Linked DNA regions of Arabidopsis thaliana. The protein of the gene in region 2 interacts with the protein of the main gene of each other region in a biochemical or structural test. Each region holds a gene or a part of one and is shown on either strand. Other genes may lie near its edges. The genes, in order: CPN60B, MC9, AT5G44310 and AT1G29350.

The links.
Region 1: of the proteins of MC9 (region 2) and CPN60B, one has a biochemical effect on the other in vitro, tested with the Arabidopsis thaliana proteins (one large-scale study listed by BioGRID).
Region 3: of the proteins of MC9 (region 2) and AT5G44310, one has a biochemical effect on the other in vitro, tested with the Arabidopsis thaliana proteins (one large-scale study listed by BioGRID).
Region 4: of the proteins of MC9 (region 2) and AT1G29350, one has a biochemical effect on the other in vitro, tested with the Arabidopsis thaliana proteins (one large-scale study listed by BioGRID).

The regions. Positions count from the first base shown.
Region 1 is NC_003070.9:20,715,051-20,721,087, forward strand, and holds CPN60B (chaperonin 60 beta), read right to left. Parts: upstream 4,212-6,037; 5' UTR 4,019-4,211; exon of another isoform or gene 3,632-4,018; 5' UTR 3,624-3,631; coding exon 3,408-3,623; intron 3,310-3,407; coding exon 3,184-3,309; intron 3,105-3,183; coding exon 2,967-3,104; intron 2,885-2,966; coding exon 2,789-2,884; intron 2,705-2,788; coding exon 2,462-2,704; intron 2,347-2,461; coding exon 2,112-2,346; intron 2,025-2,111; coding exon 1,855-2,024; intron 1,767-1,854; coding exon 1,689-1,766; intron 1,602-1,688; coding exon 1,530-1,601; intron 1,448-1,529; coding exon 1,343-1,447; intron 1,269-1,342; coding exon 1,176-1,268; intron 1,089-1,175; coding exon 996-1,088; intron 904-995; coding exon 780-903; intron 681-779; coding exon 667-680; 3' UTR 513-666; downstream 1-512. Other genes in the region: ZKT (protein containing PDZ domain, a K-box domain, and a TPR region), read left to right, coding at 13-72, 161-301; ECT4 (evolutionarily conserved C-terminal region 4), read left to right, coding at 4,697-4,724, 4,975-5,051, 5,129-5,273, 5,366-5,421, 5,520-6,037. UniProt on the Arabidopsis thaliana protein: Binds RuBisCO small and large subunits and is implicated in the assembly of the enzyme oligomer. Involved in protein assisted folding. Required for proper plastid division.
Region 2 is NC_003076.8:1,152,011-1,155,586, reverse strand, and holds MC9 (metacaspase 9), read right to left. Parts: upstream 1,848-3,576; 5' UTR 1,695-1,847; coding exon 717-1,694; 3' UTR 547-716; downstream 1-546. Other genes in the region: AT5G04210 (CCCH-type zinc fingerfamily protein with RNA-binding domain-containing protein), read left to right, coding at 1-8, 97-532; PKS4 (phytochrome kinase substrate 4), read right to left, coding at 3,253-3,576. UniProt on the Arabidopsis thaliana protein: Cysteine protease that cleaves specifically after arginine or lysine residues. Does not cleave caspase-specific substrates. Required for proteolytic processing of GRI.
Region 3 is NC_003076.8:17,847,252-17,851,328, forward strand, and holds AT5G44310 (Late embryogenesis abundant protein (LEA) family protein), read right to left. Parts: upstream 2,286-4,077; 5' UTR 2,186-2,285; coding exon 2,042-2,185; intron 1,774-2,041; exon of another isoform or gene 1,635-1,773; coding exon of another isoform or gene 1,599-1,634; coding exon 747-1,598; 3' UTR 530-746; downstream 1-529. Other genes in the region: AT5G44306 (uncharacterized protein), read right to left, coding at 1-121.
Region 4 is NC_003070.9:10,267,914-10,275,396, forward strand, and holds AT1G29350 (RNA polymerase II degradation factor-like protein (DUF1296)), read right to left. Parts: upstream 5,909-7,483; 5' UTR 5,701-5,908; coding exon 5,520-5,700; intron 5,138-5,519; coding exon 5,094-5,137; intron 4,684-5,093; coding exon 4,566-4,683; intron 4,484-4,565; coding exon 4,369-4,483; intron 3,856-4,368; coding exon 3,326-3,855; intron 2,967-3,325; coding exon 2,729-2,966; intron 2,640-2,728; coding exon 2,354-2,639; intron 2,140-2,353; coding exon 1,975-2,139; intron 1,765-1,974; coding exon 1,273-1,764; intron 1,175-1,272; coding exon 848-1,174; 3' UTR 508-847; downstream 1-507. Other genes in the region: AT1G29355 (uncharacterized protein), read left to right, coding at 6,135-6,136, 6,481-7,177, 7,402-7,483.

The DNA.
Region 1 (6,037 bases), on a different chromosome or scaffold from region 2:
TTATTTTGATAGGTTCAAGCTGGTCTCTCGGCTCTGGAAGAAGCATTGAAGTCAGGATATGAAGATTTTAAGGTAAGTCCAAGGAGTTGTAATGTTTCAATTGAGACAGAGAGAAGGATGGACTTGTTTGTTGAAGCTGTGTTATTTGTTTTGTTTGCAGAGAATCAGAAGTGATCCAGATCTGGAAACTCTCAGGAAGTCGAAGGATTTCGATCCACTTCTGAAGCAATTCGACGAATCTTTCATCAATGAGAGTGCCATTAACGCCATCAAATCCTTGTTTGGCTTTAACAAGAAATAGTTCACCTAAAGTTTGTGTCTTTTGATGTGATCTGTTCATAGCTTCTCTTCTCTTCTTGGCTCTATACATACTTGTGAGGAATTTTATTCGATCATAAATGTGTTCTTTTTTTCTTAAGAAATTCTTTTAACCATTTCATTCAGTTTACGTATACCATTTCATATGAAGTGATAATAAATCTTCAAATCTTTGGATCAAAAGTTTCATATTTGGCGATTTCGAGATATTTCGAAGCATTGAGGGAATCATGATTTATTCATATGATGATTAATTCAAAATTTCAGTTTCACATTACACATTCTCTTGTTCAAAATCATTACACTCGCAAGCTAAAGTAATCCGTTTCAATATTAGCCTATCTCCTCTTAGTATCCATATCCTGAAATAAGAGAGGCCAACAAGATTCAGCAATGAAACATGAATATTGAATGCGGGGGATCTTTACCAAAGACTCAAGTATTTGAAATTCTGAACAAACCTGAGTTGTCCATTGGGTTGCCGACGGGAACTGGTTCAGGTTCCTTGATCTCAACAACAACGCAGTCCGACATCAAGAAAGTCTTTGCAACCGAAGCTGCGTGTTCCAAGCAACATCTCACAACCTAAAATCAAGATAAAGCCACTCAGGTTCATGGATCTTTGATGACCAATTTAGCTAGCAAAGACAGTTTCTGTATATGCACAGAAAACTTACCTTTGTTGGATCGATGATTCCTGCAGCCATCAAATCCTCGTACTTGCCGGTTGCAGCATTGTAACCGAATTTCACGTTATCGTTGGAAAGCACCTGCCAATGAATAGAGACATCTCTTCAAGCATCTGACTTGAAATCTAGAGATAAAAAAGTGGGAATTATGTTATCTGTTGTTATTACCTTCTCGCTAACTACACTTCCATTAACACCAGCATTCTTGGCGATTAGTTTTAGGGGGTAACTTAGTGCTCTTTTAACTATATCCGCTCCAACCTAAAGGGAATCATCAGCAAAGTTAGAGAAACCGAAGGTTCATGAGTTAAAATCTGAAGACTTGATTGATTTACCTTTTCTTCATCATTATCAAGCGTGGCTTTAATGGCATCAACCTTGGAAGCAAGACGAAGCAGAGTGCAACCACCACCAACAACAATACCTTCCTCGACAGCGGCCTGAAGAATTAAAATCCTGATTAGTTATAGTTCACGAGTATGCAAATAACACGCTTCTCAAGCCTCAGAAATACAAAATCACCTTTGTTGCATTAAGAGCATCTTCAACTCTCAACTTCTTCTCTTTGAGTTCTGTCTCAGTTTGTGCTCCAACCTTTAACCAATACATAACGAGCTTAACTTAATATCTCTGAAACACATCTTAATCAGACAAAGGAAACTTAAATAGTTTTTAGTTTACCTGAATCACAGCAACTCCACCAGAGAGCTTTGCAATTCTCTCATTGAGTTTCTCCTTCTCGTAATCTTGCTCCGCTTGCTGCACAAACCAATTACCATTGCAATGTAACTACACTATCCACAAAAAGTAAAAGAGGTCCCATATATGCTATACTCTTTTACTATACCTCAATAAGATTTTTAATCTGTGTAACACGCTTTTTCACTGCATCCTGTGTGCTTCCATCACCCACTATGGTCGAGGTCTCCTTTGTGAGGACAACCTTTGAAGCATTACCAAGAACCTCTTTTCCAGCTTTGTCAAGTGAAAGACCAACTTCCTCACGGATCACAGTTGCTGCAAGCGAAGATAGAAAATTAGGACAAGATAAAAACTACAAATATATGCGTAAACATAGGGCTCATCAATGCAGACAGAACTTACCTCCAGTTAGAATGGCAATATCATCAAGGTATTGGCTCTTGCGCTCTCCAAACCCTGGAGCTCTGAGAGCTGCTATCTTCAGTGTACCTCTAAGCTTGTTTACAACAAGAGTCGCTAAAGCTTCTTGTTCAATGTCTTCAGCAATAATTAATATTGGGTATCCGCCTCTAATTGCATCCTCCAAAACACCAACAAGATCCCTTGCATTGGTAATTTTCTTGTCAACGAGAAGTAACTGCAATCATACCAAAACATTAAAGATCGTTGTTATACTCATATATAAATATCTTTAGTGGCTAAATAGTCTGCCAACAAAATTCATCTTCTACTCAGATTCAAGAAACATCTACCTTGCAATTGTCGAACTCGACGGACATTTTCTCGCTGTCTGTCACAAAGTAAGGAGAGATATAACCACGGTCAAATTGCATTCCTTCTACGACGTAGAGGTTGTTCTCGGCACTTTTACCCTCCTCAAGGGTCACCACACCTTTCCTGCCCACTTTGCTCATTGCTTCAGCAATCATATTTCCAATTTCGTCGTTGTTACCCGCACTAACAGCTGCAACATCTGCAAGTTCACTGTCTTCAACCTACATCGACATGACTTACATTCAGAACCTTTTGAAAAAGACTCTTAACATATTAAAAGAAAGAGAGTTCTATAAATTTGAAACCTCCTTAGACATTTTCTTGAGCTCGGTAACCAAAGCCTTTGCTGTCTTCTCAATACCTCTGGTGATCAAAACAGGGTTTGCACCAGCAGCTACCACCTGAATAAGATAATCTTAAAATTAGTACAAAAGTTTTTGAAGTTTCACATAGAGAAAGCTGAAAGAAGAATGTTACACAGACCTTGACACCCTCAGCGATAAAACCTTGTGCAAGAACAACAGATGTTGTTGTACCGTCACCAGCCAAGTCATTGGTTTTGGCAGCCGCTTGCCTCACAAGCTTAGCGCCAATGTTCTCAACCGGGTCTTCCAACTCAACCTACAGGAGAAAGTTTGAAACTCTAAGACTCAGTTGAATGAGAACAAAAATCATTATCAGAGGGGTAATAATTCCATACCTCTCTTGCAACAGTCACACCATCATTAACAATTCGTGGTGATCCATACTTGCTCTCAAGAACAACATTTCGTCCTTTGGGTCCAAGTGTAACACCAACAAGATCTGCGAGCTTGTTGACACCAGCCTAGTACAACACAAAATTAGAAACCACAGAAAATGTAAACCTTTAGCTCCGGTTTGGGAATGAAGTTTCCATTAACTTTTTTTAAAAAAGATACTTACTTGAAGTCTCCTAATGGTAGTCCCATCTTTGTTGAAATGTAATTCCTTTGCTGCGCACACAATTGCAGAACTGGATCTTCTGGGTCTAGGACACACACTTTGTCTCCTTCCAAATGAGCTTGAAGACAACTTGCTGATAAGTTTCTTATCAGATTTGTGACCATTCGGAGCAACCATTGAACCAATAGAAGATGTGGCAGTGAAAGTTGACGCCATTTTATCCACTTCAAAGACAGACAAAATTCAGCACTTAGATAAGATTTCAAAGATATAAAAAAGACTCTTCTTTTCATCTATATACGGTTAACACAATCAATATAACAGAAAGAAACAACAACCCAGTAAGCTAAAGTAATAAATTTTCACAACAAACCAGAAGAAAGGCGACACCTTCGAAAGCAGAGCTCAATAAGAACACAATTGACAATCTGAAGAAACACTAATCCATAAATTTTATTACAAAACACCCAAAATCATGGAAGTAATGAACTAATACAAGTTTTCAAAAGCTTACAACAAATTCTTATCCAAACAAAACATACACACATAAACTGTGGCACTAAAAAATGCAGAGGATAAACTATTCCAAGAGTAAGGATTAAGAAACTAACAGAAGTAGAGAGATGACGAAGGAGGTTTTATCACCGGAAGTTTTTGGTTTCCGGATAAGAAAAGGGGAGCTGAAGCAAGGAAAGGAAGTAGGTTTATCTCCTTACTCTCGCTTGGAAGGTGCTTTTAACGTTCCCTTACCTCTTTCAAGCTTTGAGTTAATCTTGGCCGTTGGATTCAACTCTTCGGATCCTGGATCAGATTTATATTGGGCCTATTTGGGCCTTTATTCTTGCTCCTTAATTCCTAACAATGGAATTGGAATCAGTGATATTTATTTTAAAAATTGATTTTTTCCCGATTAATTGCGAAATTTTCGAGGAAATAATATTTATAGTATTATTTTGTGAGATATTTCGTAGTGACTAGTATAATATTAATGTGGCTGGAATAAAGGAAGTATTTTAAAAAAAAAACGATGGAGAAAAAGGTAAACAAAAATAATAGAAAAATATAAAAAAGGGATCTTGGAGGTATTTGAATCAAATCGAGGTGAACGAACAAAACCACTTTTGCCTCTTCCTCTTCTTCTCTCTTCTCTTGCGGCTACGATTCAATCTCTTAAACCCTAGATTCCTTCTGAGTTCTTTTTTGCTCTGATATTTGTGTTTGTCTCAAACTCTTATTGTTCAATATCCGACAAGGATCTATTATCAGTCTTCGCTGCCAACTCTGTTCTCATGTCTACTGTTGCTCCTCCTGCTGATCGTATCCTTTGCCTTTGTTTCTTTTCTCCTTCATTTCTTTTGTGATCTACGTTCATGAATCTAGTTGCTTCATCGTAATTCGATTCATATAGTGAAATGATGTCATTTCCATTTGTTCTGTTTGTTTTAGCTCGATGAATTTGACTGTTCCTGTAGCTAGCAAAGTGAATAAATTGATTAGAAAAATCAATTTTTTAGTCTTGCTGAAGATAGAAACCTATTTGTTTCCTTCACTTACATTGTTTTTTCAGAAGCTGCTGATGTATTGAAGAAACTGTCTTTAGATTCAAAGTCTAGGACTTTGGAGATCCCTGAGCCTACTAAGAAGGTAAAGTTACATCTTTTAATGTCTCTGCACATTTTGTTACTCCAAGCAGAGTTCTCATAGCATCATTATCTTTGCAGACGGGTGTTTACCAGTATGGAGCTATGGATTCGAATGGTCAAGTTCCTTCTTTTGATCGATCTTTGTCACCTATGCTACCCAGTGATGCCTTGGATCCTTCTGTTTTCTATGTTCCTAATGTGTATCAGCAGCCCTACTATTATGGTGATAATTAAGTTTCATTTATATATCTTCAGCCTTCTACTGTCTAGAATTATTGTAATATCTATAACACAACCGTTTGTATAATCTTTCAGGTTATGGGAGTGACTACACAGGTTATACCAATTCCGAGAGTGTTGATATGACATCAGTACGTGCGTTAATATTTTCTTATAAGCAACTCGTGTCCAGACTATTTAGCCTCTCTTTTACCTTTTGCCCTACTTAGTCATTTGGTAATCACTCCAGGGAGCTTACGGAGAGAATGCATCTCTTGTTTATCCGCAGGGATACGGGTATGCTGCCTTTCCTTACTCACCAGCAACAAGCCCTGCTCCACAACTTGGTGGTGATGGACAGTTGTATGGTGCTCAGCAGTACCAGTATCCTTTTCCTCTCACAGCCAGTAGTGGGCCTTTCGCTTCGTCTGTTCCTGCCTCTACTCAGAGCAAGCTCTCTACAAACAAAGCAGCCAACTCTGCATCTGCTGGTATCCCTAAAGGAATGAATGGATCAGCTCCTGTTAAACCATTGAATCAGAGTGCACTGTATGGAAACAGTGCTCTTGGAGGTGGTCTTGCTGCTGGTTATCAGGACCCCAGGTATAGCTATGATGGGTTTTACACTCCTGTGTCATGGCACGATGGCTCTAACTTCTCAGATGTGCAGAGGTCTGTTTCTGGCAGTGGAGTTGCATCCTCATATTCTAAGGCTAACAACAATGTACCTGCGACTAGGAATCAAAACTCTAGCTCCAATTCGCATTA
Region 2 (3,576 bases):
CGTTCTGGGTAAGCTATTCTACATACATATATAGATGTATATATATTCTCGAGTCTTTGTTTGTTTGTGTGTTTCATGTATTTTTCTTCACCGCAGGTTAGAAAACCCATTTGTACTCGAGGTGCTTGCAAGAGCTTGTAACACGGGCCCTTTGAAACCACCAGAGGATCAAAGTATTAAAACTCTTTACATCCGTAGACTTATTAACTCCAGTGTCCTCGAGCAGGACATCCGAGACCATTTCTGCCCCTATGGTGAAATCGAATCTATTGTTATCTTCCCCCACCGAGGAGGAGGCACCTGTGCCTTCCTCACTTACACTACCCGTCTAGCTGCTGAGAAGGCCATGCTTGAGCTCTCCTCCTGGACTGACATCAAAGGCCAGAGGGTTAAACTCTTGTGGGGACCTACTGAAAAATGGCAGCACAAAATGACTGGTGCTGCCATTTCTTCAACCCAAGAGGTTGGTTCTTCTAGCTCCAATACTGCTGACTTGGTAACTAAATTAGTACATTCTCTAGAAAAGCTTTAATTAAACCTTTTTGTACCATTAAAAAAGATAAATGTTATTAAACAAGTTTTATATGTCCTTTTTCCTTTTAGAGTACACCACAGAGAATAGAAAATACACACATTCCACCAGTTAACAATTTACAACAACCCCAAAGGCAAACGTGATAAAACAAATAAAAGAAAACAACGCAAACGTTTAAAATTCAAGGTTGAGAAAGGAACGTCGCGTCTGCGTTCTGGTCGCTGCAGTAGAGACAAGGGTGTTGATGAAACCCTAGTCTCTCAAGCACATCCCTTGCCATCATCACTAGTTGCTTGTTCTTCATGGCACCTTCATTTTCGTTCAACACCCTTTGAATCGCGTTGCTAAACGCTCCGTACGCTTTCCCGTTCCCAACGCCGACGTCAGCAGACGTCTCATCCGCCTGACACCCGCTCATCAATATCCCTGAGTCCACGTGTTTTTCACGGGCCGTCATAGTCTCCAAAAGATCCATTAGATCCATTGCCGGTAACCGAAACTTAAGACCAGCATCGCGGCCAAAGAGCTCAAGTAGATGTGTGCCGATGTCGGAAGTTGTAATTCCGGTGAGAGAACTCAAGTGGTCAAGGACTGCCTTGAAGGGCAAGGCACGTGATGTTATAGTCTTGTTCGTTGTCTCAATAGCCGGAGATATGTTGCTGGAGACCGAAGAGGGTCCGATCTGTTCTTTCTCCTTGTCGATGAGACCACCACTATGGCAAGAATCAGAGATCATGGTAAAGCTTGTTCCTTTAGGAAGTTGATTGACCAATTCTCGGAAATCAACATCTGTGATGAGATTGAAATCACAAGGAACAATAGCTTCGTCTTGTTTAAAAGGATGAGCAGATTTAACCGAAGGAATACGAGTTCCATGGCCACTGTAGTGGAAGAACAAGATGTCTCCAGATCCGGCTTGAGCTTTATCCACCATCCTACGTAGAGCAGCCTTGATGTTGGCACCTGTCGGCTTTACCTTTGATTCTGGCTCGTCCGTTAGCACCTCAATGTCGTCTTGTTTGAATCCGAAACGTGACAAAATAGTTTCTTTCATGGCTAGAACATCATTGATGCAACCGTGAAGCTCGTTCCTTGTGTTAGGGTAGTTGCAGCCGACGAGAACGGCTAGTCTTTTCTTGACCATCCCTTGTTGATCCATTGAGTTTCTGGATATGATTTCTTAAGGTTTAAGAGGTAATTTAAACAACTTTCTAGGCAAAATGTTTTGGGGTTTCTTGTGTACGTGTGTTTAGTTTTCATGTGCAGTGTTGTGGTTTTGGAGCTAATGTGTATTTATGATTGAGGTTTCGTGTAGTGAAGTTCAAGTTACATACGATATTAGTATTTATATTTTCAAGTCTAGTTTGCTTTTAAGCTATGGAACATTTTTTAATGGCTTACTCTTGACTTATTAATGCTTTCAAGCAAGAAACTAAACCTTAAATCAGACTTTTGAGAAAGACATAATTAATCCTAAGTCATGGATTCATGATTAATTTGGTTAACTTGGATATATACGTAACTTCAAAAGGGAAGTCATTTTCCCAAATATTTAGACCTAATCCATCTAGCTATCTAAGGGAAGAGAGGAGCTAATTAACTTTAAATGCTATGATATACGAATGTATATAACGTATACATTGTTGAAAATAATGTCAATTGACCAAACTATAATTTGCCTTAATCCTAAAGGACCGTCTATATACTTCGTGCACGCAACGGAAAAGTCTTTTTGAGACGAACCATTTATGCTATTAGCACCATCTTCACTTCACCTACGAGCCTAACTCTTGACTTCATATTTACAAGTTATATCCCCAAAAAAGAAATCAAACTTTCAATGGTAAACTCTTTAACAAAATAAAAAGCATTCAAATTAAAAGATAAAGCTTTTAGTAAACGAAAGACTAATCAGAAATTAAACGTCTTCATCAACTGAGAATTTTTCTTTTTGGTTTTATGTGATAAAAACACATGCTGGATTATGTTTTTAACAAATAAACAAAACTAAATCGATGACCAATACTACAGTCTGTTTATTGCATAAAGTTGTTTATATTCCTATGCATGCATTTATTATCTCTTGGGTAACGGCTTGGAATCATCTCCCAAGTTCCCAACTCGTGATAGATTAAGGAATTGGGGCATGAATATTCTTGAAATTTTTGTCTCCTCTGTAATGCACCTGAATCCAAGAACCACTTGTTTTCTGAATGTACCTACAACAAAGACACATGGGGCATCTTCTTTTGCTCAATTCAGCCCGCCTACAATCTTTGAAGATTGATGTTTCCATGGGACCTCAAAGAAGTAGTGGATGAGGTTTCTAAAGAAAGAAATCGTATAACCAAGTGTTTTGTGGTCCATTGGTTTGTTCGAGTGGATAGAGGATTCGCTATGTGGGTCAAGGCTACGAATCTATTTCTTGACTATAGACGCCTTAAATACAACATACAAGTATTGAGGATTAGTTTGGGTTTCACTCCGGGATTTACTCCGGTTATTACAAAAAAATGTGATCAATATTGTGATAAATACAGGACACATTGATTTTGTTTACTTCACAAACCATAATCTTCATTAATCATTACACAAGTTATATTAACCAAAAAAAAGAAGAAGAAAAAACAGAGCAATTTTACACGAGAAGCATCCAAAACACACCAAGATAACTGGAGAAAACCGGATCTAAACCAAGAACAAAGATTTGGTATCCATCATTGCCTTGGTCTACTCGTCACGCTTAGTTTAGAACTGCCATTGTTGCACAACACCTTTCCCGCGACGTCGTTTTGAACACCAACGCTCTTAACCGGTTGCACTAAACGCTTATCGCCGTTAACCATAACCGCCTTCTCACAATGACAGTTCAACAAACCGGTTCTCTTCTTATCGTAACCACTAAATGCTGTAGACGATGACGACAAGGCAATTCTTGAGAAGTTAGCTGCAACGGCCGAGGCCGGCTCGGCGGTCATAACGCTCCAAGTAACACTTGCTTCGCTTGGCTCGTAACCGTACTCAGACACGGTCTCTTCCAT
Region 3 (4,077 bases), about 17 Mb from region 2:
AGATCAAGTGGTTTGACTCAGCATGATTAAGAGTCTCACCATGGTTCGAGTAATTGGTGTACCGTCTTGACGGAGATGAAAACTTATTTGGCTTCTCTTCCTCCCAATAAGAGTATCTCATGGGAGCTGAATGAACAGCGGATAAGTTTCCTCTCCCAGATTTGGATTTCTATAAGATACTAATCTGGACGTGGCTCTTCCCTGATCTTGAGAGTTGACCCACGGTCGAAACAGGATTTGGTCTAAATGTCTATCCCAGAGATCATGCATTTGGGTTAGAGAATTGAGGTAATATTAATTACTTTCTTTTCGGTTTTATATATGATAATTGATAAGAGTCATAGGCTATAACGATTTCGAACCCGACGCCTTCTCATAGGGTTAGGGTTCTGCCTCGTGAAAAGATGCCACAAGGCAAAGTTGAAGAGACAATTGGCGAAGAAAGGATTAGTGAGTTGTCTCAAGGTTTGCTTGTACTAATATTAGTTGCCCAAATCCAGTAAACTTGTATTTAGGAACATAAACTCATGATGGAACGATGAAGCGCCATCTTTACTTTGAAGATATCTTTCTGATCTTAGCTTATTTTTACACATCAACCTCAAAGCCAAAGGAATGTTTGATAAAACCTTTAATACCCTACTATAAAAGTTTCTCAAACAGAGCTTTTAAAACATAGAAAGATGAAACACCACCTATAGTAAAATAACAACAAAAGAGAAAAGGTAACAAGATGATCAGTAAATTTAGAACCTCTTGAAATCATCATCCTTATTTCGATTTTCCTTCGCCTTTTTCGACAAATCTTCCAAGCCCTTATCAACATCATCCCTAGCCTTATCCGCCTCCTCACCGGACCCAACCACAGCCTCAGTCACCTTCTGAGCCGTGCTCTTCGCCGTCTCCCACACATCTTTCACAGTATCCATAGTCTTCTCCCCAATATCTTGAGCCTTTTCCTTAAACCCATGAGCCATGTCCTCTGCTTTCTCCTTTGAGTCCTCTGCATAGTCCTTTGCTTTATCTTTTGTCTCTTCAGCTTTATCCGCAGCTCTACTCGCTCCTTCATTCACTTTATCTTTTGTTTGTTCCGCATAATTCTTTGTCTTCTCCTTCACATCATAAGCTTTATCTGCTGCTCTACTCGCTCCTTCATTCACTTTCTCCTTAGTTTCTTCCGCAAAATCTTTTGTCTTCTCTTTCACATCATAGGCTTTGTCTTTAGCCTTCTCTTTTGTCTCGTAAGCTTTATCAGCAGCTCTACTAGCTCCTTCATTCACCTTATCCTTGGCCTCTTCTGCGTAATCTTTCGTCTTCTCTTTCACATCATAGGCTTTGTCCTTGGCCTTCTCTTTCGTCTCATAGGCTTTATCAGCTGCTCTGCTTGCTCCTTCATTCACTTTATTCTTAGTTTGTTCAGCATAATCTTTCGTTCTCTCTTTCATATCGTAAGCTTTGTCCTTAGCTTCCTCTTTTGTCTTGTGGGCTTTCCCTTTACCTGCTTCTGCGTATTCTCCTGATTCTTCTCTCCATTTTTTCGAATCATATGCCAAGTCGGCCCTCGAGTCTCTCGCTTTCTCTACTGGATCATATCTTCCCTGAAAATCAACAACCATTGATATCTCTTCACACATATTGACCTAATACCAGCTTATTGAATTAACAAGTGTCACAAACCGTTAAAGAGTCTTGTAAAAATCTTATATCAAAAACAAATATCATACTCATTGATCATTTTTCAAAGTTCAGATTCCACTTGATTTCTTGTCAAACACGTTAGCTTAATACCATATTGCTAAATTCACCATCCAAATTATCACACGGAAAAAAACTCCACATATTATAAATAGATACAAACTTTTTATTTTTAAAAATAAAGATCCCACTTCACATATACACAAAACAATTTCCTTCTTTTTTTATATAATTAAATAAAATAGTTTTGAATATCAAGATCATTTGTGAATCAACTAGTTAATTTACACACAAGCATAAAAACCGGTTATGCATCAATCTGTATTGATGACCATATATTAATTACCTTAGAATGGTTAACCGACGATGCAAAAAAGACACGAGAGCTTTTCCGACCAATCGCTACCGCAAGAGTTCTAGGAGCTTGGCTTTTAGGGAAAGCCTTCGAGATCCCGAAGAAAACCGTTCTCGTTAACTGCATAGCCGCCATATTAATCAATCACAAAAACAATTTCTTCTTCTTCTTCTTCTTCTGCTTAATTTAGCTTTACAAAATCTAGTTTTCTGAAGTTTTGGATCCGTAATCTCTCGGCTTGCATTATCTATGTTGCGAACTTATAGAAGCCATTTGGGACAGCTGGCAGTACGAATTCGACACGTGTTGATGTTGTAACACGTGTTAACCAAGTGATAACTAAACTACTATGGTGTGTTATCGAACAAATCTGGTGTCTTATGTCGAGTAGGGACCGTGGGATTAGATGGACGATTCTCAAGATCGACGGCTGTAGGCAACAAATGGGAGAATGCGAAATTCCCTCATGGTCAGGATTTTTTAGAAATATATACATTAACGTTTTAAAACTTTGATAAAGAGACACGATAATGGATAAAAGTAGCATAGGGGGATTCTACACATAAACTTGCATGTTCTAAACAGAGAAAAAAAACAACATTCGAAGTTATCCTTCTATGATAGAAGTTCTATCATCAAAAATTTATGAATTAAATGACATTTTTCTAGTGTTGGTTCAAGTATCTCGCTCTGGTTGCGCTTCCCAATTGTACACATGAAAAAGTGTTATGATTACGATGTTATTATATGATTACGATGTTATTATTCTGCATTTGTTTCCCATAGGAAATAACCCGACTCTAGAGTATAAACGCTAAAGTACTAAACCGAACCCAACCCAAAGTTTTAAAATATTCGAATGGGGTTTAGAAAACTAGAGTCCAACACAAACACAAACCGAATATTTGATCTCTCATGCTTAATTTTGATTGCAGGATATATATATGTAGGTTACTTTGGTTACTAGGAAAAGAAAAAAAAAAGTCATTGTACGTGAGCCAAAATGAAATTTCCATAAGGGTAATTTGCAGGCCACACCCTTTGACCATGTTTTATTTTCAAGGATTGGCAAAGTGAAAGGTGGTTTTCACGTTTTGTCTTTTCAGCTGAAATTTGACCATTTTGCCCTTACTGCTGCAGTAGAGAAACTGTTGAATGTACGGTTTATTTAGTCAGGTTTAGTTAGGTACACTATTCCGGTTTAGTTATAATATTATAAAATTATTGATAATAATTGGTGAGTTAAAGATGAACCCAGGAACAAACATTAATTGCGAACAAACATTGATGCTCAAGAAGTGTTGATCTTTTTTATTTACGAAGTTTGGAGTCAAGATAAGCATTATCGTGTAAGTAATGAAGTTTTAAAGAATTTTTTTGTTATAACATACTATGATCTTCATTGTGTTCAAAATCAACTTTGTTTTTTATAGAAAAACCCAGAAATATTTTATTTTCAATTTTGTTGGTTGAAAATGATAAATGTGTAAATACTTATGTTTATAAGTGTGTATATCGAAATTCTATTTGTTTTTGTAGATATAATCATGTTTTCAGTTGCATTTACTCGGTTTCTCATGAATTTATGATGTTGTTGGGTAATGGATATTCCCGTATTTATTATGGTCGGTGAGGGGAGATGCAAAGAAGAAGAATAGAAATTTAAACTAAAGAAAGACATGTTTGGTCGCTGTGTACGTGTTACGGAAAACATGACGTACACGGAATTTGTACGTACACTAAGCGAGGCTTTCAGTTTGAAGTCCACAGAGATCAATCCCATAATTAGTTACTGGATGCCCAGAGAGATGTTAGTGATGATAGATACTAAACGCCCTCCTGTCTACATTGACAGTCAAGTGGAGTTGAATACGTTCTTTATGATTCGTGGTAGGTATCCTTCTCTCAACTTGTTTGTCTCTTTCATTACAACCGTCAAGACACTCAGGAATAATGTCTCTAGGGCTCATGATGATGATGCTGAAAGTGACCGTGTTTCAAATGTTGATGAAAATAATGAGGCCGTA
Region 4 (7,483 bases), on a different chromosome or scaffold from region 2:
ATGTCAATATTAAGGTTAAACTACATAAAAATTATCCAACGCACAGATTGTTATTTAAATCCGACTGAAAGTTTGTGTGTATTGACATTTTCCACATAACGAACTTGGAATTTTGGAAAATATTTGAGTTTTTTTTTTTATGTGTATAGTTTATTGACATTGAAACTTTTAAAAAAATGTGTAATCATTTCATTGCAAAATCCTTCTAGCTTTGTCGATAAGAGGTACGTAAAATCCATAGAGAGTGTTTGAGTTAATAATTTTTTTCCCTTTCTCTTTGTTTTTTTTTGTTCACATCTCTATTGTGACAACGTTAAGTGTGATGTAATCTGATGTCTAATCAATAAGAAGATTATTCAAACACTAAACAAATTCTGATAACACTAATAGTAAACGAACTACATTCAAAACATTGACTTGACTCGAAGCTCACACATGTTTGCTACCTAGAAAACTTAGACTGAAAATAGATTAGATCAATCAATCCAGACGTTGTGTCCACAATTCCTCCATTGACTTATACAGCTGGAGAGAAGTTTGTAACCTAAGAAAATTATAAATAATTTTTTCTTTCCACAGATGTATAAACAAGAGAAGAACATGCTTCAAAAATCACGTTGAGCCCTTAGACAAGAGAAGTAAGAAGAGGCAAGAGTTAAAAAAAAAAGTTTCATTTCTGAAGTTGCATTGATGAAATCAGAGTTGCATGTTCCCTAAGTTAACAGAGGAGACAAAAGATGATGATAAGTTACATTTTAGAACACGACCATATTTCCTCTTCAGACTCGCCACACAAACCTCTATAAGCGAGAGAAAGAAGCTGAAAAAACCCACTCTCTTTCTTTATTTAGTAAGAGTTTTGCCAGAGCTGCTGCTGAGATTGATTCGACGGTTGACCAGCCTGAGACCCAGCACCATCCCTAGGGTTTTGCTGCTGGCGCTCGAGTGACATTTCGGTCTGAGACTGATAATAATTTGGGTATCCATGAGATCCATAATGCTGTTGTTGCTGAGCTTGGCGATACCCTCCCGCTGCTTGCTGAGCCTGCTGTTGTTGTTGCTGGTGTTGTAGTTGCAGTTGTTGTTGTGCTTGGAGGTTGTAATACGTGTTAGTCGGGACACCTGACATGGTTCTGGAACCATGACCCTGATGCCACATCGCCGAGTTTTCGTTCTGTATATTTAAGTCAAAAAGAGGAAGAACGTCACCAAAATGGTTCATGCCTGAAACCAAACGAAAGTGGCAAGGAAGTGACCAAAAAGAGAAAGTACCTGTTGTTGATGTTGCTGTTGTTGCTGCTGCTGCTGAAGTGCCAACAGATGATTCTCTTTGTATTGAGAACTAAGAACATCTTCATAACCAAGCGTTGTACCGGTAGTAGCAGACTGTTGGTTAAGAGGGAAGTTTCCGGCAGATCCGACATTGGTCGAGTTTCCAAATCCATAAGCAGAGGCAGGCGCTGTTGCAGACTGAGGCAAATTACCGGGAGAGACATTGGTTTTGTACTGCGGAAGCAATGCAGCTAGTTGCTGGTGGTATGCACTATTACCAGCAAATGTTTGCTGGAAAGCAGATGGCATGTATGGATAATTCTGAGGCATTAGAGGATAACCGATCATGTTTGCATAGTGTGTTAGAGGTAATGTGGGTTGAGAGTAATGCATTGGAAGCTGCTGAGGAAGAGCAGGTCCAGTAGCGATATTAGCACCAGGTAGTGTTTGCTGGGTTGGCTGTGTTGCCGGAATTCCACTGCCTCGGAGCGCCTGCAATGTAAAAGAATATAAAATCAAAATCACACACGTTTCACTTGTAAAAGAAGATTCAGATTTCGAATCTGAAGAAACTACTGCCTTTGGCTAAGTAAGCAAAACAGTACCCATGTGACAACTAACCAGTAACTACTACTTCTGAAAACAAGCTAAGAGAAAGAACTATTTCAGTCCCGTGTTTCTCAAGGAGAAAGAATTATTTACCTCTGGCATTGAAATGCTTTGGCCACCAAGTGATGAGGCATTGTTGCTAGTTCTTGATTGCATAGACTGTTGAGCTGAGAAAGGTGAATACTGGAAGTCAAGTTCCCTCGCATTTTGTGCTGTTTGTGCCAATAAAGTGTTGGGAACTGAGTGTGAATACCCCTGCTGAGATAAAAACATACAAGAACTAATGTTAACATTCAAGAATTTCATGGGAATCACTTCAGAGATTACTAAGCTACTCTTCCAGCAAAAATATAAAAAGCCTGATTGCATTTTAAAAAGAAAATTGAGTATCTTAGAAGCTATCACAAACAACTATGATTTTCAAAACCCATTGAAACATGGTTCTGTTATAAAAAATAAACATGTAGCTTACCATCACATTTGATAATGAATCAAGATTATGCATCTGATTCTGTGAATTTGTGTGTGAGGCATCATATGCAGAATTCATCTGCTGCTGCTTAGCATTTTCATACGCATACCCTTGCTCAGACTGGGTAAATGTGTACTGGTGCTCCTGAGCGCCCTCAGAGTTTTCTTGCTTCAACACCTCTCGCCTCGTTTCTAAAGAATCATCATAATTTCCAGTAGCAGGTGTGTGGACCATATTTCCATTGGTTGTACTTCCCAGATGTTCATCTCCATAGAACTCAGTATTTCTGCAAACAAGTATGATCAGTTGGTAAGTATGATATAAATGAAGTCCATAAAAAGTTTGGAAAAAGTAATCAGTAAACACGAAATATACCTTGCATCTGAATGTTCGATTTGTGGAGCTACATCAGAAGTCGCTTCTACGCTGTTGCTCAAAGGCCTTGATCCAAAACCTCCAAAGCTTCCAAAACTTAATTGCGCGCATTCTTCTGTGTGAATTAGCAAATGGTTTGGAATTACAACAGCAGGTCTATCCTCTTCATGTGAGACTTCTTGATCATGACTATCTAGTTGTTGAAAACTGGCTGAACCAGATGAAACATCATCTTCATCTGAAAAGTAATAATGAGACAGTGAATAAAAAAAAAACATCAGAAACACCAAAAGATCCTCATAAGGTATTGATTTTCGAATACTATATTTTGTAACAAAACATCACATAATGAGAATCACTCTACCGCCAAAAGATAGTTGAGAAAGAAAACAGAGCAGGCAAAGTATAGTATAGTTTTATGACAAACAAAACAGCAAAGAAGCTTTCATTACCCCCCAGCAGAACTATAATCCCATCTGTATTCACATGATCAATAAACACAAGCCCACTCCAAAATGAAACAGGAAAAAGAATTTGAACATAATGGCACACACTAGCAATAAATGGGAAACATTTTATAAAGATTCAAAATATTACCTTTGTGGTGCTCTACTGGATGGCTCTGTGTCTGATATGGATTATCATCAATTTCTGACGAAACTACAGATTCATCTTCTTGAACAGAGTCGGCTTGCACATGATCGACCCCACGACTTTCAGACGGGCCACTTTCTGCTATATGAATATTTTCTAACCGGTCCTTCAGATATTGATCTCCTCTATCGGATTGGAAATCAGCTAGACCATTGCGTACTTCTGATTCTGCTGGTGCTACTGATAAAGAAGATGTACTAGGAGCCAGCGGCTTCTCAATCGACGGCCATTCATCTTTAACAGGGGCCTGCTGATTTGCATTAACTTCGTGTTCATGATTTATCTCAGAACCCACATTGACATTTTGCTTTGTTGTCTTGTTCTGTGGTCTACCCATCTTCACAACTTCAGCCATAGACCTCTGGCCTGGAGCTCCAAACCATGCAGTTTGATGTCCAGAAGCTGACTTTGATGATGATATTCCATCTCCCAAGGTAACAGGAGGCAATTTGTTTTCCATAGCAATGGGTTCACTGCAAAAGATAAGTAGGATACATGAGAAACTTGTACAACCCAAATAGAAACATGTACAAAAACATAATCCAAGGGAAAAAAATGTCAAATTGAAAAGGCTAAAAAAGAGAAATGAACCACTACCTACCAGTACTTCTCTAGTTATTGGCTCAAATCTTTCACAAACTAGAGACTTGTAAAACTAATTGTGATATTCTACTACCTACCTAAGCCATAGGTCATATAATTACTTTAACCAATCCAACTTAAGCTTTGTATTCTAATGTAGGAAAGGGCCTAAGATCAAACAAATAATCACAGAGTTTTCCTATTTGGTGATATCCCTTAAGCACATCATAAACTGGGAATTTTGAAAATCACTACTAGATGGATCCTACTAATACAATGAGTAACCATATGAGTAAAATATGAAATCAATTAATTGATTCAATACGCAGCACAGAACTTCCACTAAATATTTCAACAGCATCCCAATTCCCATCTCAAAAGTAAAGAATCGCTCAAGGGGAAACCTGTGTGGTGTTTGATAGGTGTTCGCCACTCCAGAAGCAGAAGACCAAGAACTTGTATAACCCTGCGTTCCACTTTCTTTCTTATTTGTAGATTTTCCCTGGAAGTTTCCAGAATCTGAACAACAGAAGCACATAAGCATGAATCTTACGGTTAAAACTAAATATATATTTGTGTATACAAGAGATCATGCTTATACCAGTAGAGCTGAAATGGGTAGATCCACTTCGTCCGGCGTAACGAGCAGAACCACCTCTAGCACCACGGTTGTAGGTGTTATTAGCACCACGCGGCCGAGAATCTGATATATCCCTAGTCTGAATAGACAAAAAAAAACTTTTAAAATCACCAAAATTCTAGTAAATTAAAACGATTACTAGCTAAAACTAGAATTCATTTCACTCCAACAAAACATCTAAAGTCAGGTACTACATAATAACTAGCTAGACCTAGACTTCATTTGATTCCAGCAAAACATCTAGAGTCAGGTACAGCATGATGATTGATGACAGCTAGTAATAAAAAAAATCATTGCCAGATGTGTCAACATAGAAATTGTGTACAAGAAACAGAAGTTGATTGTATCACACATGGTTGAAGCATGTAATGATACAGAGATTGTGCCATAAGTTTGCACTTAAAACGCCAACACTGGACACCAAAAGCACACAACAAAACACCCCTGGGTCTATTATCCATAAGAATACGATTTGTAACATGGACTCACCTCTTTCTTCTTTTCTTTCTTGCTCTTTACCTCGTGAAATGGATCTGAATAAGGAAAAAACAAGTATCAATATCATTAATAATAGAACAAAGACAAGCCTTGAATCAAGAACTAAGAAAGCAAACCATTAACAACATCTTTCTTCTCTATAAAACCGAACCAGCTAGAAAGTTGGACAATTACAAGGGGAACCATATTAAAGGCGACAGCTTTAGAATTGCACAATGACTAAATTCTAGAAACTAACAAAAACGAAAGTATTGGTCTGTTCAGAATAAAAACCCCAATCAAACCCTAATAGAAACCCTTAGTAATTAAGTCGATTTCGAGAAATCCTCCTCGGGATACATGAAAACCCCAGGCCCAAATTAACAATCCAAAGACACAGCAGCTCAAACAAATAGAGGAGGAGGAAAAAGGAGGAACCTTGAGAGAGGAGGCGACTAACGGTTTCGTTAGGATCCATATTGCACTCTTTAAGCATAGCATAGATCTCAGCCTCAGGAGAGTTTACAATTTCCGTCAAGCTTTGTACTATTTTTCTAGACCCTGACGGAATATCCTGAATTCCTTTCCTTGCTCCGCCGCCGACCTTGCTGCTGCTCATATTTATCCGCCGTAAGCTGCCTCTCTCTCTCTCTCTCTCACTATATCGGATCTGAAGGAAATAAACGAAGCTTTTGTGGCCTTCTCTCAGTCGCGACGACAATACGAAGAACACCAAGGAAGCTCAAGGGAAGATATATCTCTCTCTGTAGAAAACGAAACCCTCTCCAGATTTTTTCTTCACCTTATAGAAAAAAAAACAACTTTTCTTTTCCTTTTTTTTTCCTCTTTGCCTTTTTAAATTTGAAAAATTACTGAACCGGTTCTCTCGTTTAAACCAGCAGTGCTAAATTAAACCGAACCAAAACCACATTGCCCAAGGATAATAAAGAACGATTGATTTGGGTTTATATCGCTTCCGATGAAAGATTACTACTAGTTTGGATTGCAACTTTGGACAGAGTTAAGCACATGAACTTTCTAAGTAAAAGAAGAATGTATTACAAAAAAGGTTAGAGACAAATGAACCAAAAAGATACACTTGTTTACAAGAGAAGAGAAGAAACAAATAAAGAGAGAATCGCAACTGGGCTTAATAAGCAGATTCCTCATGTTTCCGTTGTTTTCAGTTACCTACAAGTCTTTCAACTTTGTCTTGTTCGATTTAGTACGACAACAGTTTACAAAAGTTGTACATCTCCAATCTTTAAAATAACACAGTCACTAGTAAGGCAGATGAACCCTTGAGATTCCGCAAAAAGACTTAAATCCCTTCGGGTGAGCTTGTTTGGGTATCTCTCGGCTCCAAGAGACTCTTTAGGTGGTGTAAGCTTTGTCATAGGATCTACAACGAACAAGAATCTTGTCCTTTAAACCTTGTGGCTCAGAAGGAGACGTTACCGTTTGAAAAAGATAATGACAAAAGCTTGGGAAAGCTGACTTCAGGGAAGAAGTTAACTCTTTCTACTCCTACTGCAACTCTCCAGCTCAGCACAAATGGAAGGATTCACCCTTCGTGGTGGAGACCTGACTTGGTCAAGCCAACACAAGCTAAAGAAGACCCAACAACCTCTGACTACCGCAGGAGAAAAACAGAAGGCAAACAAGTTGTAAATGCTAATTCTAAACATGCTTGGCGTCGTATTGACAATTCTCGATCTCAGAACTGGAACCCACCTGCAAATGCTCGCTACTCAAATCATCATACGACTAGGGATGACTCTCAGGGCTATGATCGACGAATTGAATGGAGCACAGCTTCAATTCCCCGAACACGGGAGAAACTTATGAGACCTTCAGAGATTAAGAACCCTTCTTCAGTCCGCGAGATCCCTCCCTTTAAGGATTCAGGTCGCAAAAGACGTTATGATGACACTCTGGAGAACCATAATCACAAGCCATCCTCATCAAAAGAAAGAGCTGTGACCCGCAGGATGAACCAGAACAAATCTCCAGCTGCAGCATCAAAATCTGCTGGTTTATCCCATGTCTCGGACTCGCAATTGACGGTCTCTGATCCTTTGATCTCTTCACTACGAGTAAAACAAGGAGTTTCTTCTCAAGCTCTTAACAGAGAAAGACCTTTTCGCTTGAATCTGAAAAAGAGAGGCGACTACATTCAATTGAAGCACGTGATCGCCTCTGAGAAACTTACTATTGGGGAAGCTCTGCAAAGAAAAGCCTAAACTTTGATACTATGACACAAGATGATGAAGCGTTTGGTCCTCGTAATAAATCTGACCTCTTGGTTATATCGAAGCAGCTGGACAAGGAGAAGAGTTGGTATGATCAAACTGTGGAAGAAGAGGAAAATCATGCTCAAGAAGCTCCTTTAGAAGCAAGAT